Linked DNA regions of Kluyveromyces lactis. The protein of the gene in region 1 binds, or shares a complex with, the protein of each later gene. Links are inferred from orthologs where the notes say so. Each region holds a gene or a part of one and is shown in the gene's direction. Other genes may lie near its edges. The genes, in order: MRPL11, RML2, IMG1, MHR1, MRPL10, MRPL15 and MRPL22.

Region 1 (2,684 bases):
GAAAGTGGTTAGTTTCCATTTCGGAGTGCCATCTGCGAGCACTTTAAAATCATTGAAGCAAGCGGGAGTTGTCACGATGGCAAGTGTGACTCAATTAAGTGAGGCTGAATTGGCTATTGGGCACGGGATAGATATCCTAATCGCTCAAGGTGTCGAAGCGGGTGGTCATCGGGGAATGTTTAACGCATCATTAGATCCGGCAATATCCACGAGAGATTTGGTGAAATTACTAAAAGCAAAGTTGGGCACAACTATTCCTATAGTAGCAGCAGGAGGAATAATGTCTGGTCAAGATATTAAAGGAATGATGGAAGTAGGTGCCAGTGGTGCTCAATTAGGAACCGCATTTGTCCAATGCAAAGAATCGGCTGCGTCAGAAAATTACAGGAAATTATTATTTGACAAAACAAGAAATGACATAACTCAAATCACAAGCAGCATATCAGGTCGTCCGGCGCGAGCTTTGTTGAATAGTTGGCACACTGAGGTGGATATTCCAACTAGAGTGATACATCCAGGGTATCCATTTACATACGATGTGGGGAAGCAGTTAAATGCCGTGTCTATTCCAGATCATGATGGTACCGCAAATTCTTTCGCAGCACATTGGGCAGGATCCAATGTCAGCCGTATCCGTGATATGGATGCGAGACAACTAATGCAAACCCTTGTCGATGAGATGAGATAATTTTCCAGACCGTTACAGCACAGAGCTATGCTGTTTCAAATGTACGAAAATCCCGAATAGCGACAAATTCCACAATGGAACGATGAAGTTACACTAATTGTGCATTATTCTCGTCAGTTACATGACTGCATTTATTTTTTCAATGACGAAGTAGAGTTGCATCTCTTCACAATTTCACTACGACCCTATAAATCCCGGACTACCTTTTGTAAGGAAGAAATCTAATCTTTCGACATCCCTCCTAGCTTGGACAGGAGACGTCTATAACGGATTACATTATTTAAGCATGATGTTGACGATAGCAATGACAGTTTGCAGTTCGAAAAGAAGAGCAGAACTCACCAATTCCTCTATCATTTTAATTTGAACAGTCACGTGAATCGACCTTTGCCTCATTCGGGATTATATATACTATAAAGAAGATATATAAAAAATTACCAATATACATTTTTTGCTGCCATGGAAAATATACGAGAAAGTCTTCATTCCCTTCTCCATTGTTGATACCGATTTTGGCACTCATACCACTTCCAATTACCATTCATACCTTCTTACATTGAATCTAACTATGCCTCTCGTCGGTTTATTGTACCAAGTATTGAAATTCGACGATACTGAAAAATCTGAAAAAAAATGAAAAATCTGAAAAATCACTGAAGATTGATATATTGTAGTGAAGAGATATATTGGTGGGAATGAATTCGCTTAAAGTGATTCGAATCCACAGCTCAGGTCATCACCAACCACTCAAAATAGCCATGTTGTCACTTTTGTTAAGAAGCCCAGTGGTGGTATCCCGTGTCTCATATGCTTCTCCGTTTTTGGTTAGGAGGTTTGCCTCTACGCAAATTGAGAGAACTGTCTCGGATGCAGTTAGAAGAACAGTAAAGCCTTTGGACTCTCGTAAGACTTTCCTAATCGACTCTTACAAAAACCTGATGGAAACCAGTCCGGTAATGTTGTTTTGTCATCATAACAATTTGATGAAAGGGGAGAATGCACACTTCAGAGAAGAAATTAATAAGGTAGGAGGCAAGTTAACAATCTTGAGAAACAATTTGTTCCAAGTATACTTGAGAAACTCACGCAAAAATGACCCAGCTGCTCCAGCGAAACGTTCAGAACAAGACTGGAAGCATCCTTTACTGCCCTTGTTCAAAGGTCCTACGGCAGCAATTTCGTTCCCAGAGACTGATCCGGCAAAGGTAAAAAAAGTCATGAAATTATTGGAAAAAGCCCAAGACAAGTTATTCGTTATTGGCGCCAAAGTTGAAAATGATGCGTACGATTTGAGACAATTGGATTCTTTCAAGGATCTACCAACAAAAAGTCAATTACAATCAGAATTACTGGGACTATTGCACGTCTTGAGCGGTGCTGGTTTAGTTCAAACTTTAGAAGCTGGCTCAAACATGTTGTACCTAACTCTAAAGTCTCACGAAGATAATATTAACCCAGATAAGCAGAAAAACGAGAATGACAGCGAAGGAAATTAAAGTCTTTTGCCCCATCATGAAATGTAATATAAATCATTTTTACGTATCGATGTACTTAAATAAACCCATCACATATTAATATAAACTCCTGTACATATTCTTTGCACGTGACTTTTTTTGATCTCATTTGTATATTGTAAAGAAATAAAAAGTTTTTGAACATGCACTGAATCAATTGAGTCGAGAAAACCTAGGCGATGAGGTTACAATTTTTCAAAGCAGTTACTTCCACCAACCGTTAATGTGTGTTGAATAAACATAATTGAATTCTAACAGTGACTCAAATTTCCTATAACTGCCTTTGTTAGAAAATATGAGTTTTAGTACTAGACGCCAGGCGTATCGTGCTGAGAAGCAAGATCATCGCAAAGAATTGAAACATGTCAAGATCGATGAATCTGTGATTGAAAAGGTGGATAAACTATCTTTACCTAAAAAAAAGTTTTACAGACAAAGAGCACATTCGAATCCATTCAGTGATCATCAGTTGGAGTATCCAA
Region 2 (3,103 bases), about 110 kb from region 1:
CATGAATGCACGTATAAATAAGGAATCAAAAAAATGTAACAAAAAAAGGAGGAATAGAAGCAGAAGAAATCCCTTTCAGAAAGGCCCTGTGTGTATCGCTAACGGTTTAGATTTGTGGTTCACTGTCTCAGAGCTCTGTATAATCTAGGATCCTACGTTTTTAGTCCTAAGATAACACTTTTATTTCTATTGACATCTTTTCAAGACGTGTTTACAATTCAGATACCGGCACCAAAAATAAAAAAACACACACTACCGAAAAGCACAAGTTACAAGTACAAGAATGGAACAGCTAATGCTATATATAAACGTATTCAGGACTGTTAGAGATAACAAAAAGCGTGTTTCTAATCCTTTAAAATTTTGAATTTTATTCATGATTAGCATGGAAACTTTTAGTTCATCATTAATAGGTCTATATATTTAAGATAGAGAATGCCGAGTAATCCACTGACACATCTAACGTACACTTCGACTACCCGAATATATCCGGAAATGAAGAAAGTCAAACAAACAAGAAGATATAACTTGTACTGTATTGCCTGGACAGTTTATTTTAATAAAGTAATCGATTGATCAGAATTTTCAGTGTTTGGCTAATGCTAGTCGAATCGTTCATATTTTCGAAATCCGTTTGGGGCGACAGCGGTCATCATAATCGATATACTCAAAAAAAAAACAATCCAAATGATGGTATTTCCATACAGACAGTCATTATCTTCGTCGTTCCTTTTACTTGTTCATTTCCCGACATGAAGAGGAATTTGATTTCCGTTTGAGTTCAGTAAAAAAGACAGAATACGTTGCGAACAGGAACTCCTGTTCCTGATACACTACAAATCGAATCCTTGTTGGTTATGTCTCTAACTCTAATTAAAAGCTTTGTAACGGATAATAAAGTATTCGTGATGAGATAGAAACTTACCTCAAAATTTTTCACTTTTCCAGTTATTTAAACTAAAAACCATAAAACAGAAAGAATAGTCAATCTAACCATGAGAGACTGGTCTGCCATTAGGGCACAAAATAAGTACACAAAGATTTCCTGAATCACGTGACCAAATATTATATAATCCGGGTAAATTCAGAATACGTTCATAGTGATACTTCTTGCAAAAAATTCCATTTGACGATATTCCTCTGATGGTATTGAAGCTGTTTGAAATTAGAGATCGCTTGAAAGATTTTGATATTAACAAAAATGAACAATGTAATTGCAATGACTTAAACATTTTAAACTATGGATATTGATATATATAAGGGTGGATATATCTATAACAAATCTTATTAAGATCAGAGTTATTTTATTATTTCTGTGAAGGGCAGTAGCAAAGCGGAGATATTGGTATTAGACGGTTTACCCTAAGAATCTCGTTAGGTGCTCTGGATATAATATCATGTTCAAGCAATTCAACTTGAGATGCCTGACGCCGCTTGCCAGCGGCGTCTCCTCAAGAGTTCAAGTTCCGTGGAATGTTTCGATGATAATGTCTTTGAACAATACTTCACTTGGTGGAATCAGATCTATGGCCAGCATCACTCCAACCGGGAATGAAGAACAATCTTCAGTTGACGATGTCAATGTCCATATGTTGAAAATCGTTCCTAATAACACAGATGTGGTAGCACTAGAGAAGCAAGACGAATTGTTAAGAAGAAGAAGAAAGTTGGCTAAGGAAGTTACACAAATGAAGAAATTGAAACCGGTTTCTCCAGGTTTGAGATGGTACCGTGCGCCAATTTATCCATATTTGCATAAGGGAAGACCTGTTAAATCTTTGACTCTTGCCAAGAGAGGAAATGGTGGTAGAAACCATAGTGGTAAGATCACGGTGAGACATCGTGGTGGTGGTCATAAAAGAAGATTGAGAACAGTCGATTTCAGTCGTTTCGAATCTGGTATGCAAACTGTGGAAAGAATCGAATACGATCCTGGTAGAAGTGCACATATTGCATTGATAAAACATAACGATACTGGTGCCCTAAGCTACATTTTAGCATGTGATGGGCTAAGAGCTGGGGATACCATCGAATCATACAGAAAAGGTATTCCACCATCATTTTTGAAAGAAATGGGTGGGAAGATCGATCCTGCCATCTTATCTGTTAGAACAGCTCAAAGAGGTAACTGTCTACCAATCTCTATGATCCCAATCGGATCCATCGTTCATAATATTGGTATCACTCCTACAGGTCCAGGTAAGTTCTGTCGTGCTGCTGGTTCTTACGCACGTATCTTATCCAAGATCCCAGAAAAGAATAAAGCTGTTGTCCGTCTACAAAGTGGTGAGCACCGTTACGTATCATTGGAAGCTGCAGCTACCATGGGTGTTGTCTCAAATATTGACCATCAAAACCGTTCTCTAGGTAAAGCTGGTAGATCTAGATGGTTGGGTATAAGACCAACTGTCAGAGGTGTGGCAATGAACAAATGTGACCATCCTCACGGTGGTGGTAGAGGTAAATCTAAGTCCAAAAAGTTGTCCATGTCTCCATGGGGTCAATTGGCCAAGGGTTACAAGACAAGAAGGGGTAAGCATCAAAACAAAATGAAGGTTAAAGATAGACCAAGAGGTAAGGCTGGTAGAAAGGCTAGACAATGATAAGCTTCCCCACAACTGATCCTATCTTAAATATCATCAGTTTTTGTAAACTTATTTCAATGACTTCCATCCTGTAAATATCGTAGAACTAGTTAATTTAAAGAAATAACATAACATCTGTTCAGTTACCAACTCTATTTTAAACAAAGTTTAGATTACTACATCCAGAGCATCATTTGGTCTCTTCTTCCAGCTTAAATTCCCAGTTCCCAAGTTCGAATAAGGAACCAACGACTAACCTTACATGCTGGGCCATGTGATCAAATGAAAGTCTGTCTAAAGTGTCCATCGTACTGTGAATGTATTTGTTAGATTTGTTGAACTCACTTTCAATGACAAAGGAAGCGGGGAATCCATTCTTCGTTGCACTTCCGTGATCACTACATGCATATCCACATTCCGTTTCCACGTAAGGAATATCCAAGAATCTTCTTATAATCAACTTAATAAATTCAGTTAGACCTGGCGTGGTATAATCAGTAATGACACCAACATGCTCA
Region 3 (2,282 bases), on another chromosome or scaffold:
ATTCAAAATTTTAAAGCTCATCTCGGTCATCGCCAAACATTTACGAACTAACAATGGCTACTTGAGCAAGCTGTTTGCATTGATATGCTCTGTTAATCAACTGACGGGAATAAAGTATAATAGGATAACAATTACAAGAAGTTTGAGATCGAAATGTCACGTCCAGAAGATTTGGCACCACCAGAAGTGTTTTACAATGACAGTGAATCTAAGAAGTATAGTGGCTCCACAAGAGTGCAACATATTCAAGCTAAAATGACACTTCGGGCCTTAGAACTTCTCAACCTGCCACATACATCATATATCTTGGATATTGGGTGTGGGTCTGGTTTAAGTGGTGAAATCATCACTGAAGAAGGACATATATGGTGTGGATTAGACATTTCTCCTAGTATGTTAGCTGAAGCGCTAGAAAGAGAAGTTGAAGGTGATCTTATGTTACACGATATAGGTCAAGGTATTCCATTTAGAGCAGGTGTATTTGATGCGGCAATTAGTATATCTGTGATTCAATGGTTATGTAATGCGGACACATCGTACAACGATCCAAAGAGAAGGCTCATGAGGTTCTTCAATACACTATTTGCTAGTTTGAAGAAAGGAGGAAAATTTGTAGCACAATTCTATCCAAAGAATGATGATCAAATAGACCAAATCTTGGGAGCAGCAAAAGTAGCTGGATTCTCTGGTGGCCTTGTCATTGATGATCCCGAGTCCAAAAAGAACAAGAAGTACTACTTGGTATTAAGCTCCGGATCTACAGAACAGAATGAACAAGTCAACTTGGATGGTGTTAAGATGGATGCAGATCTAATGGTAAAGAGAGAGCGTAAAAAGAAACTAGTTGAATCAAGTAAGGATTACATCAACAGAAAGAAGGAGGTGATGAAAAAAAGAGGTAGAAAGGTAGCTCTCGACTCGAAGTTTACGGGTAGAAAGAGAAGACCTAGGTTTTAGTATGGTCTTGCATATATAGAATTAGTAGATACGCACTTAATACAATCAGCAAACATGGACTGAAACGTTATCATTCATTCACCATTTTCCGTGTCTATTGCATCTGCCATGATCAAAACGTTTAAAATGATCATCAAACCTATGTTGTAGTTTTCCATAGAAAGAACATTCGAAAATTTTGGTTAAAAAAGATGGAAACATAAGTACCTAAGAGTTAAGAAAGCACTGAAGCGCAGTTTATATTTGAGTTTAAGCCTTTACTACCCGTCAGATCAAGTTCCCATTCCAAAACTATATTAGTCCCATACAATGTTAAAGAGACTACTACCTACCGTTATCAGACAATCTGTTAGAAGTTATCAACTTCCAGCTAAGAGTGGAAGAAAGATTATTCCAGTTTACCCACCAGTTGAAAGAATATCCTCCCCATTAGTAGTGAAGACTCTAGCTGATCATGATCTAAAACAACTTGACCCAACTGGTGTAAAAACAGAGATGGTTTCAAAGAAAAACCCAAATCGTCTACGTGCAGGTGATGTTCTTCGTGTAGTTTACGATTCCAAGAAATGCAACTACGATAGTTTTACTGGATATGTGCTATCGGTAGACCGTAAGCCAATAGTACAAGACACATCCATTCTATTAAGAGATTATATTTATAAAACCTGTGTGGAAATGAGAGTGCCAATCTTCTCACCATTGGTAGAGAGAATTGATTTGATTAGAAGAGCGGATGGTAAGAGACGCAGAAGTAAACATTATTACATCAGAAACACCAGATTGGATGTCGGAGATTTGGAAGCAAGTATGAGAAAGAAGAAATGAGCACATTCACACTATCAAACACTTGCTGAATTTTCATAAAATGAAACATGTACATAGAAGCAATTCAAACATATAGTAAGTAATGCTCGATATCAATGCAAACCCAAAGACAAGGAAGATTCAAAGTTGAAAGAGCTCCAGAGTTGAACCATAATGCAAGGTACTCTATGCAGGTCCAGCTTCTCTAGGTAAAGTTATTTGTATCATTAGCATGTCGGGTGGATATATAATTGTATAATCTGTAAAATAAAAAGGCGGATTATGCTAGTCCTTATACCTCATCAAGTGCATCCAATAAGAAAGGAAAATCATGAGAAAGGATAAGCATAAGAAAGGATTTGTACGCTCTATCTAAAACAAAGCTGCATTGAGTGAGCAAGTTGCTCTATTAGAAATGAAAAGATTACAAGCAATTTTGGTCCGCATTTTTGATAATTTATGAAGGTTCTTGATTGGTTCAAAAAAGTAGTGGTATAATGTTATGAAAGCCGTACCAGCCG
Region 4 (2,329 bases), on another chromosome or scaffold:
ACCTTACCTGGTGCTACTGTACAGGGTCCGAAAACAAATGCAATGGATTGTGATGGGTTTAGACATTGTGCTAGAAAAATAGCGAGTGCAGTGTTTCTTCTACATCTTTTTTTTGACCTAGTCCGTTGACATAGAAGTTCCGCGAGTTTAGCACCGAAAGATATTTGGTCCGTCCAAATCTTCCTCACTAAAAGCCCATACTTTGCAATGAACCATTCTGTGTCAAGCTTCTTAAGATGGCTGATACAACTACTAGATTCTGCATCTACGGTAATGTGTGACCCGTCAGTATGAATAGTGACAGACCCATCTTCAATCGTGATCAGGGCCAATGACTGGACAGAACCAAATTGTAACATCTTCAACGCGTCTAGATTTTCCTCAAATTCACAATTAAGATCGATGATTATGGCGAACTTGGAATGCGTAGGCACAGCAGCAGTTCCTAAATGTTTTAGGTATGACGATGATAATGGAATATTCCCTAGTTCATTATAAGCATTACAAAAAGAACAAAACCACCCAGCTCGTGAATCTCTTGAACATAAAAAATTCGCAAACCCTCCACAGATTTTACAATTGGTATAATTCTCACTGCTTGCTAGGCTTGAATTCCCGTCAATTGTCAAGTCCGGCTCACAAATGGCACTTATCGATCCACGGTTATCATCTCCACAATCGAGAACTCTAGCTAAGCAATCTGTCCGGGACGTAGGAACGGCTCCATAATTCAATTCAAACATCAAGTTCTAGATGGTGGAATATGCGGACACTTGACGGATGAAGGTGATAACTCTACTGTGCGTGTCTGCTGATAGGAAAACCTTTCTCTGGAGATGAGATCCAAGATAAGATAGAGCAGGTAGCGGAGAATTCAATATCATCACAAGATCCGGGTAATGTATATATTAGGTTCATTCTCTTTAATTTTCAGTGTTTCTACGAAGTTGTTTATGGCATCTGAAAAAGCTGAAAAATTTTGAAAAAGAGAAAGCTGATAGTTAGTTTAGCTTGATTACAGAAGAGATCACCACATTTGTGCACACATTGTATTTAAATAACTCTTCAGAAGTCCATCAATAGCACTGGAGATAGAAGAGAACTCTGAGGATCAAGGCTTTTGTTGTTAACAAATAAGGCTTGAAGACACCATAGGGCACTAGGAAGAGATGAGCAAGCATTTAGCTATTACCAAGTTCCGTCCAGCCAACTGGCTACAGAAAGCAGGGTATGCACCACAAGTCTTTTTATTCAGAAACCTAGAGAGTGGACAAGTGCTGTACTCTCAATTCCCGACTTTTTCTTGGAAGCAAATTGATACCAATTTCCAAAGACCCAACTGGGAGAATAAGAAACCAAGCACCAGACGTGATATTTGGAAATGTATGGCTGTTGTTGATCTACCAGACTACGACAAGAGTGTAAAAGTATACCAGAATTTGTGCAGATTAAGATATCTCCGTGATGTGACATTCAGTAAACAGGCAAAAGACATGAGAAAGAAGAATGAGTCCGGCCACACATGGTACTCATCGCAATACAGACCAACATACTCTCAAGAAGCGGTTGCCGATTTGCGAGAATGTCTCCTAAAGTTGAAAGACGTCCAATCGTCCATTAAGGTCCATTGGGAAGACGAATGGAGAATGGGGGATAAAGAGAAATACTGGAACCCAGTATTGCCAGAGTTGAATCACACAACACTAGAACGTTTGGGGAACGTTTCCAGAGAGGAAAGTGCAATTTTGAAAGAACTAGGCGAAAGAGCCAAAGAAGAGTTCGCAAGAGTGAGACAACAGGAGTCAGCTGCTCAAAACATCTCTCTATGAGTTACAAAAGAAAACAAGCAAATACAAACTATTTCCAGTTGCAAAAGCTGAGCCGAGCTCAGATCTTTCACTGCTTCACTCGTCACGTCTTTAAGAAATCACTACATGTACATATATAACCCGCAGACAATCCGACTCTGTAAATAATATAAACAAACCCTCAGCTCACTACCGGCGTTTAACTGATTTGACAAGGTGATTACTAGCAGTTTTCTCCCTTGTTTCCATCATCACGTAACCTAAATATCAAAGGTTCTGTAATCATCATATTACTTCCTCTACTTTTCTACCGCTTCATACCATATGTGTCTCATGCATGCATTAACGCCTAACGGAAGAAGAAGCAGGAACCCGGACACCAAAGAAAAAGCAAAAAAAATGTCACATGACCAAATTTGAGAAACCTTAACACCGTTTCTCTGGTTTTCTCTGGTGTTTCTTTAACGACAATCCTGTTTTCCCTTAGAGGCTTCGGGTTTTTCTTAGTTTTTCTAGCATAA
Region 5 (2,557 bases), on another chromosome or scaffold:
GATTGGATAATAATGGAAACGAAATCAGTGATTCGCAAATCGTTAGTCCGTTTGGAGAAACTATGGATCAACCAGACCTAACACAACCTCCTGTACGTCCGACAATGGGAAATCCTAGATTCAGCAATGGTTCTTTACCAGATGTAACTCAACAAAGGCGACCGCTAAGAATCGCCAATCCAGATGAGCTGGATGATGAGGATACAGAATTCAATTCGATCATCGAAAATCTCAGGGGAGATTGATCCTGATACAATATAACATCATCTTTTTAACACATTTCGCTAAGATAATAGCATGATATACCCAATATCATCCCCTTGTTGTTGTCAAACAAAACAAACGCCAAAAGGAAATATTCCAAATATAAAACATCAACTAAGGCCCACAATAAGCCATGTTCCATACTCACTACTGATACTTGATACCCCTAATGAAAACTATCAACTGAGGATCAGTTAATTGTCTAACACTATAAACAAGACAAGTCACAAAATATATCGAAACGATTTATGTTATACTGATAAGTTGGGCTTTCACATATGTACATATATAACGTTATAATACTCATTTAATTTCTTCACATTTTACTTCAAGGTATCTTTATAATGGTTAATTGTCATGTTTACTGTCGGGAATTATTGTGCTACATTTTCATCTAGGGTAATTGTTTAAGGGATCCAAAAAAATGCTTCCAACCAGAGTCGAACTGATGATCTCCACATTACTAGTGTGGCGCCTTACCAACTTGGCCATAGAAGCTGTTTCTTGTCATAAAAAGAATTTACCACTATATACTCCTACGAGATTATTGCCTGCTACCAATTCTTTTCTGGTGGACCTAACCTATTTTGAACTGAGGAATACGCAGTTTATAATGTTACAGCTACATTTTTGAAAAACGTGATGCTAAAATAATAGTAGGTTTACTGAAATAGTTTCGGCTGTTTCAATTTGTCAATCTGCTAGGCGCATCTAAACACTTACATCAGCATTGCATACCCTCTTATCGTCTCCAAGCTCCCTCTGTGTCCTAGCGAATCTCAGCATTTTAAAAGGTTACCCGAATACCTAATTTCGAAAATTTTTTAGAATGAATATGGTTAACTTACAAGAAATTACTGGAGATGATTTGGATATTCAATGAATCTACTGGATATCTACTATTATCGATATTTAATAGCCCTATCTCGAGGTCTCACAATACTAGCACGATGTTTTCGATCAACAAAGTGGTGAATCCCTTTGGATCACTTATACAGAGATCATTTGTACGCCAAATCACGATCCTTGGTGGTTTAAAACCTGGTGAAGGCTCTAAGAAGAACTACAAAAGATTGGGTAGAGGTCCATCCAGTGGCAAAGGTAAGACTGCTGGTAGAGGTCAAAAGGGTCAAAAGGCCCGTGGTTATGTAAAATCATGGTTTGAAGGTGGTCAAACCCCAATCTTCAAATTGTTCCCAAAGCTAGGGTTCACCAACGTAACATCACTAAAATTGAAAGAATTAAACCTTGATAGAATAACGTGGTTCCACCAAAAGGGTCGCCTACATTTGGAGCCAGGTGAAACCTTGACGATGAAAAAGATGAAAGAAATCGGTTTGGTTACCGGCCCGATCAAAGATGGTATTAAGATTCTAGGTGATGGTAAATTCTCTTATAATCTTCCAATCAAGATTGAAGCTACTAGAGCTTCACAGGATGCAATTGAGGCAATCGAACATGCAGGCGGAAGTTTCACTGCTCGTTATTTCAACCGTCTTGGTCTAAGAGCCCATTTATCACCACATTGGTTCCTAGAAAAGTACGGAAGAGTTCCTCTACAAGCTAGACCCACAAAGAGGAAGGATATTGAATATTACTGTAACGAAGAAAAGAGAGGTTATTTGATTATGGAAAATGACCCATACTATCAACTTTTGCAGAAATCCAAAGATGAAGGCGGTAAAAATTTGGTTGCTCGGAAGACCAAGAAGTCCAAGCTTGAGTTGCAATTAGAGCAACTTGAGAACGATTTTGCTCCTGCTTCTCCAAATTCTGAAATTAAATCAAACTGAACATCATATAGCAATATAGAAATGCCCTGTATATAATACACATCATTCAACGCCATTTCTCCAGATTTATACACCATATCAATCAAATTGATATCTGTATTCACAAGTTGTAGCAACTTTTGTCTATTTAATGCTCTAAAGTCTAAAAATATAAGAATGAGCTTGTCTCACTTTTACACATCGTTTTGTGGAGTAGAAGACTCTGTGTTTTTGTTGTCCAACAATCTTTCTTCGAGAACCTGTAGGGCTAACTTTTTCCTTCTTTCTTCCGCTTCAGAGCCTTCAACAGGCTTAGCACCCCTCTTTTGAGCCAAAATGTTAGCTTGTTCGATATCGTATACTCTAAACGGAGTTGCAATACGCCAATCAACAATAAACTTCTGGTAAAGGTAATCAAATATTGGCTCAAGTACTGGTTTGACTAAATCCGGGAAGAAATATATCAATTGGAATGTCTCAGAGGCATCTCCTACCACTTCAAATTCAGCATCCTCAGCCAT
Region 6 (2,370 bases), on another chromosome or scaffold:
AAATCGGTATAGATTCACTTTGAATCGGAGTTGGTTCAGTGAAGTTATTTTCTATGAGGTTGTTTAACAATCTCTTATCGAATTGGAACCTTGTGATCAAGTCTTCAAAAGAACCGATGGGCAAAGGAACACTATTCCCTGAAACATTCCCTTGATAAGATTTACGTAACTTTAACGCATCTTGTTTCGTGATAATTTTCCCGGATAACTCAGTCTCGTCATCAGCATGATCTTCGTCTTCTTCTTGATTATCTTCTTGTACTTCGTCTTCACCTTCACCTTTGGTTGACTCAGACTTTACCTTATTCATGATTTTCTTATTACGGAAAAAATCCAACTCCTTAGTCAATTGTTGTTCATCTCTAGCTGGTGTACTTGAGCTGCCAGCTGTCTTACTCTTCTTTTCATTAGCCATGCTAAAGTCTGCAGACTGTGTTCTATTAGAATCACCATTCTTCCTTATGCTAGCTCCACGAGTCAAGACTCTAAAGATATCCATGTTAATTAGCGGTGCTAGTATTGGCCTGTGAGAAGTTACTTAGTAATGAGAATAAATTCGATAGTAAACCACTGTGAGTGATATAATCAATCTCTTACTACTCTCTCATCTCATCTCATCTCATCTCATCGCCTACATCTAATTGCAGTTTTTTCAATTAAAATTGATCTTACTGAAGCGTTTCTTTTCACAAAACTTAGGGTACAATAAGTGTAAAAATCGATATAAAAGTACTTCTCAAGGCATAAAGATGCAGCAAAGCTTACTTTAAGATACAGCTGGTATTAAGCCCTCATAATACCAGCCCATAATGACCATATTCCCTTGATAACAGTACCTAATGCCTTGATATTGCATGTATTCCCATCATACAAGATAGCACTTAGACACAGCGATGACCTCGTTTGGAGTGATCTGAAAAATTTTGAAAAATTTCAAAATTTGGATCGCTGCCTCGAGTCGAAAAACTACAAAGAAACAGTTTGAATCGTAGTTAAAAGGACTAAACTGTTAGAATTAAGATTCAATAATTCTAATATTTGTGTCCTGTGTAATTACAATCTGTTGATATTCGGTCGAGGAAGATTGAATTGTGAAAATACCAGACAGAAACCATTCAGACAGTATTTTTTTACTTCTGGAATAATGTCCTTAACCAAAATTGGTCTTAACTTAAGCACAAAATTCGGCGTGCGTAATGGTTCTTATCTACACGTTGGGACTAGGGTACGTGGTTTGAAAAGAGACCCAGTTGAGTCTTTGAAGAATCCACACGGTTTGCACTATGATTCTCTTGTCAAGGATGGCCATGTATCTACTGTTAAGCAAGGTTTGAATTTGGAAAAATATGGTATTGACTTGCCAGACGACATCATTACACAATGTTTGACTCACAAGTCGTTTGCCCAAGGTATTAAACCATACAATCAGAAATTGTCTATTATCGGTGGTCATTTTGTGAAATATCAAGCTTGTCTTCATTCCTTGGGTCTACCTGTTTCTGAAAGGCAACTATCACAAAGCGTACAGTCTGAACCTGTTATTAACGGACTAAATTTCGGTATGCTTGGGAAGGGAAGTTCTAAAATGTTAATATCCAAACAGAGTACGGCTGAATTTTTGCAAAGGAGAAACCTAGATAAATTAGTGTTTTGGAACAAACGAGACACTCAAAAAAGTCACAAATATAACGGTGAGTATACCGTGCTACAAACTGTGCTAAATTCTGTGGTCGGCAGTGTCTATCTATTGCACGGTCAAGACAAGGCCACCGAATACGTGTTGCATGAACTATTCAGCGACAATAGTGATTCCCTAACGAAGATATCTGAAAGTTTGTTAGCAAACAGGGATACGACCGAGAAGTTATAATATTATGTCTAATTTTACACGACAGGAAAGAAAGAGAAATGGAATACACAATAGACTTCGACATCAATAAAAAGCACTCGAGTGAATGGTCTCCATCGGAGTTGGGAAAGAGCTTTCAAAACTTGTATATATATATTTCGAAACGGAAGTTTCAATCACAGCTCTTGGTCAATGTGGTGTTTTAATCTACTCTTTCATCCCTGCTCAATTTCAACGTTTTATTATAATGAATTTACCAAAAGCATGAAAAGCATAACCTTTTAACGACACTCCATCGTCACACTTCAATTAAAAATGAACCTCGAAAGAAACGCGCGCACTGTATATATCTCATGTATCTCTAGAAATATAGACGTACATAAATTTACAACTAAATCTATCATTAATTAAATGTTAACATACAAAATAAAAACAGATTAAGAAAAGTACATAATACAATACATGTATATAAATACATATATAACTTCATAGAAGGGATGTTTTTTGCTGGTAATTTACTT
Region 7 (2,588 bases), on another chromosome or scaffold:
AGAATACACATCTGTTGAGGGTACAGAAGCTACTGCCACTGTGCCTACACCGACTTGGTTAACGTTGACCACTGAAGTACCGTCTTCTGAAACTGTGGTTTATTACACACGAGATTTCATCTTTACTGACACTTCAACCACCTTTACTAAAGGACTACCGACACTTACAGTGATACCCACAGAGGCTACTTTCACTACACCTACAGGTCCAGTTGTGACTGACACATCTTTTTACGAAAGATGGCTATCTGGCGCATTGGATTCCAACTCAACATCGTCTGGATCAAATAAAGATACAATAATCGGTGGTGTAATAGGAAGCGTGGGAGGTCTGGCGCTAATGATACTGGTGATCTATTTATTATTTAGGAAGAGACGAAGGAGAAATCTTATCGAACACGAAAAGAGCTTCTCCCACGACATTGGGAGAAAAATGGGATACGACGATATCGGAACGTTTATTGCACAGTCTCAGCAAACCACCAAGACTACAACCAGAGTATCGACGACTGCTCATAATAATAACAAAGTTTCAAAAAGTTTGCCCTCAGTGCCTCCATATGTTGCAGATTCTGTCAGGAGGCCACAGACGACAAATCCATTCGACGACGAATATGTTGTATCGATTGCAGATCCAGAGTCTCAGACGCCTTCCACAACATCACTACATTCATCCTTTGTGTCATCTTCCACCGATGAGGGTACACATGACACTGAAATGTCAGTTACTTACGATGAAAACCCACAGAACGCTCACGGATATTTAACGGAACTAATCGAACACTGATCTTACCAAACTCTAATTACAAAGTTTTCAAATTTGTACTTAAATTTTCCCTTCTATTCAATATACTTCTTTGTGCATCTTCAGTTATATAGTTCATATTTAAGGTTTAATTCCTAGCAATTCCACACTAACGCTTTTCTAATTTGTGATCTTACAACCCGTCAAGATAGTCGGACTTCAATATCTTCCTCCACACAGTAGAACCATTCCTTATATCTTCATGCCCGTTCACGATGATTTATATTTCCTAACCATCGAACAAAAAAATTTTGATAATCAAACATTGTACAGAAGAAGGATTGATCAAAGTAATAAAATGCCTACAGTATAATACTAGAGGCACGTGTAAATTACATGGTTAGTTGCAGGCTCTGTCATCAGTTCAACCTATATAAAATTTAATGCTATCGAGGACAGTAACTAGCCTGTTCGGCTTGGGAAAGGCTTCCGGTGTAAGAAGTTTTCAAGCTTCAGCATTGCAGCTACAAAAATCTGCACAAGGTTCGCTATTCGGTGAAGTCACCGATGGAGTGAATCCGTTGAAGGATGACGATCCAAATAAACTATCTAATAAGTTGACTACTGCTACCGAACTGTCAGATGATTTGGATGCTGCTACCCAGCTGGCAGAGGCTAAAAAGAAAGTTACAGCAGCCAATGATACACAATTACAGAAATATATCGAAGAACAAGACCCCATGATCAAAAGTTTACCAGAATTTTTGTTACCAAGAGTTAAGAAGGAATTCTATGAACAACAGGTTAGGTTGAACGGTGGGTTTTACGACAAAAGCGTGCGCCCTAAAGATCGTTCTTTGAGATTAACGAATGAAGAATTAGAAGTGCTTGAACCTAGTGTCTATGTTAAATCTTACAGAGTAAAATCATCTATGAAGAAGGCCACACAGCTGCTTAGACTTTTGAACGGATTGGACGCTAAGAAAGCTTTGACTCAATGTCATTTCTCCGATAAAAAGGTTGCCCGTGATGTTGCCGAATTATTGGAGCGCGGTATTAATGATGGTGTGAAGCTTGGCTTGGATGCCAATGACCTATACATCTCCCAGATATGGACCGGCAGTGATGGATTTTGGCAAAAACGTGTCGAATGGAAGGGTAGAGGTAGACGTGGTCTCATTGAACACCCATATGTGCATATCAAATGCATATTGAAGACCAAGAGTGTAACGAAGAGAAGACTAGAGCACGAAGCCAAACTAAAAGAACAAAGGAAGAAACCGTGGGTTCAATTAGCAGATAAACCCATCAGAGGTTCTATGGGTGGTGTTTACAAATGGTAATGAGATATTAAACATTATCATATTACGTTTATTTCCAATGATAATGGGTGAAGATAATATACAGCAATTAAATCATCAATAATAAGGTCCTTAGATTGTCTTTGGGTTTCATCTCAAGTTATCCATGTCGGAATAGCCAAGTATTTCATATCATTTATATAATATATAGAACAAGAGCTTGTAAATAGTGAAAGCAACGCGAAATACTTCACCGCATCAAACTGTAAGGAAACAAATTTCGTCTATTTCTTCTTCTTAGATTCCGTTTTAGCTGGTTCAGTAGTTTTCTCCGCCTTCTGTTGGTTAGCGGCAGATTCCTTCAATTGGTCTTTCCTCCATTGATCTAATCTTTGTTCATATTCCCAGGTACTGTACCACAAACCTCCTTGCAACACTAAGACACCAGCAAAGACAATTAAAATAATGATATTGGAAGAGGCAACAACAGCAATACCTTGCGCCTCAGAGACTTCACCCCAGTTATGGTAAACCGCAGATTC

Evidence for each region.
Region 2: MRPL11 (region 1) and RML2 share a complex: the UniProt entries of both Saccharomyces cerevisiae proteins name them as parts of the mitochondrial large ribosomal subunit. The link is inferred for Kluyveromyces lactis from reciprocal best matches to the Saccharomyces cerevisiae genes MRPL11 and RML2.
Region 3: MRPL11 (region 1) and IMG1 share a complex: the UniProt entries of both Saccharomyces cerevisiae proteins name them as parts of the mitochondrial large ribosomal subunit. The link is inferred for Kluyveromyces lactis from reciprocal best matches to the Saccharomyces cerevisiae genes MRPL11 and IMG1.
Region 4: MRPL11 (region 1) and MHR1 share a complex: the UniProt entries of both Saccharomyces cerevisiae proteins name them as parts of the mitochondrial large ribosomal subunit. The link is inferred for Kluyveromyces lactis from reciprocal best matches to the Saccharomyces cerevisiae genes MRPL11 and MHR1.
Region 5: MRPL11 (region 1) and MRPL10 share a complex: the UniProt entries of both Saccharomyces cerevisiae proteins name them as parts of the mitochondrial large ribosomal subunit. The link is inferred for Kluyveromyces lactis from reciprocal best matches to the Saccharomyces cerevisiae genes MRPL11 and MRPL10.
Region 6: MRPL11 (region 1) and MRPL15 share a complex: the UniProt entries of both Saccharomyces cerevisiae proteins name them as parts of the mitochondrial large ribosomal subunit. The link is inferred for Kluyveromyces lactis from reciprocal best matches to the Saccharomyces cerevisiae genes MRPL11 and MRPL15.
Region 7: MRPL11 (region 1) and MRPL22 share a complex: the UniProt entries of both Saccharomyces cerevisiae proteins name them as parts of the mitochondrial large ribosomal subunit. The link is inferred for Kluyveromyces lactis from reciprocal best matches to the Saccharomyces cerevisiae genes MRPL11 and MRPL22.

Annotation. Positions count from the first base shown.
Region 1 is NC_006037.1:292,829-295,512, reverse strand, and holds MRPL11 (mitochondrial 54S ribosomal protein uL10m), read left to right. Parts: upstream 1-1,446; coding exon 1,447-2,184; downstream 2,185-2,684. Other genes in the region: KLLA0_A03289g (putative nitronate monooxygenase), read left to right, coding at 1-688; TRM8 (tRNA (guanine46-N7)-methyltransferase), read left to right, coding at 2,498-2,684. UniProt on the Saccharomyces cerevisiae protein: Component of the mitochondrial ribosome (mitoribosome), a dedicated translation machinery responsible for the synthesis of mitochondrial genome-encoded proteins, including at least some of the essential transmembrane subunits of the mitochondrial respiratory chain.
Region 2 is NC_006037.1:183,120-186,222, reverse strand, and holds RML2 (mitochondrial 54S ribosomal protein uL2m), read left to right. Parts: upstream 1-1,397; coding exon 1,398-2,603; downstream 2,604-3,103. Other genes in the region: ERD1 (Erd1p), read right to left, coding at 1-3; KLLA0_A02013g (putative aminopeptidase), read right to left, coding at 2,776-3,103. UniProt on the Saccharomyces cerevisiae protein: Component of the mitochondrial ribosome (mitoribosome), a dedicated translation machinery responsible for the synthesis of mitochondrial genome-encoded proteins, including at least some of the essential transmembrane subunits of the mitochondrial respiratory chain.
Region 3 is NC_006042.1:571,743-574,024, forward strand, and holds IMG1 (mitochondrial 54S ribosomal protein bL19m), read left to right. Parts: upstream 1-1,266; coding exon 1,267-1,782; downstream 1,783-2,282. Other genes in the region: BUD23 (18S rRNA (guanine1575-N7)-methyltransferase), read left to right, coding at 154-957. UniProt on the Saccharomyces cerevisiae protein: Component of the mitochondrial ribosome (mitoribosome), a dedicated translation machinery responsible for the synthesis of mitochondrial genome-encoded proteins, including at least some of the essential transmembrane subunits of the mitochondrial respiratory chain.
Region 4 is NC_006039.1:893,436-895,764, reverse strand, and holds MHR1 (mitochondrial 54S ribosomal protein mL67), read left to right. Parts: upstream 1-1,169; coding exon 1,170-1,829; downstream 1,830-2,329. Other genes in the region: GTPase-activating protein NEL1, read right to left, coding at 1-743. UniProt on the Saccharomyces cerevisiae protein: Component of the mitochondrial ribosome (mitoribosome), a dedicated translation machinery responsible for the synthesis of mitochondrial genome-encoded proteins, including at least some of the essential transmembrane subunits of the mitochondrial respiratory chain.
Region 5 is NC_006039.1:1,033,445-1,036,001, reverse strand, and holds MRPL10 (mitochondrial 54S ribosomal protein uL15m), read left to right. Parts: upstream 1-1,127; coding exon 1,128-2,057; downstream 2,058-2,557. Other genes in the region: WSC2 (Wsc2p), read left to right, coding at 1-245; KLLA0_C12111g (uncharacterized protein), read right to left, coding at 2,231-2,557. UniProt on the Saccharomyces cerevisiae protein: Component of the mitochondrial ribosome (mitoribosome), a dedicated translation machinery responsible for the synthesis of mitochondrial genome-encoded proteins, including at least some of the essential transmembrane subunits of the mitochondrial respiratory chain.
Region 6 is NC_006039.1:1,528,070-1,530,439, reverse strand, and holds MRPL15 (mitochondrial 54S ribosomal protein mL57), read left to right. Parts: upstream 1-1,144; coding exon 1,145-1,870; downstream 1,871-2,370. Other genes in the region: RNA-dependent ATPase ROK1, read right to left, coding at 1-499; KLLA0_C17380g (uncharacterized protein), read right to left, coding at 2,365-2,370. UniProt on the Saccharomyces cerevisiae protein: Component of the mitochondrial ribosome (mitoribosome), a dedicated translation machinery responsible for the synthesis of mitochondrial genome-encoded proteins, including at least some of the essential transmembrane subunits of the mitochondrial respiratory chain.
Region 7 is NC_006040.1:702,267-704,854, forward strand, and holds MRPL22 (mitochondrial 54S ribosomal protein uL22m), read left to right. Parts: upstream 1-1,188; coding exon 1,189-2,088; downstream 2,089-2,588. Other genes in the region: TDA7 (Tda7p), read left to right, coding at 1-787; SHR3 (Shr3p), read right to left, coding at 2,331-2,588. UniProt on the Saccharomyces cerevisiae protein: Component of the mitochondrial ribosome (mitoribosome), a dedicated translation machinery responsible for the synthesis of mitochondrial genome-encoded proteins, including at least some of the essential transmembrane subunits of the mitochondrial respiratory chain.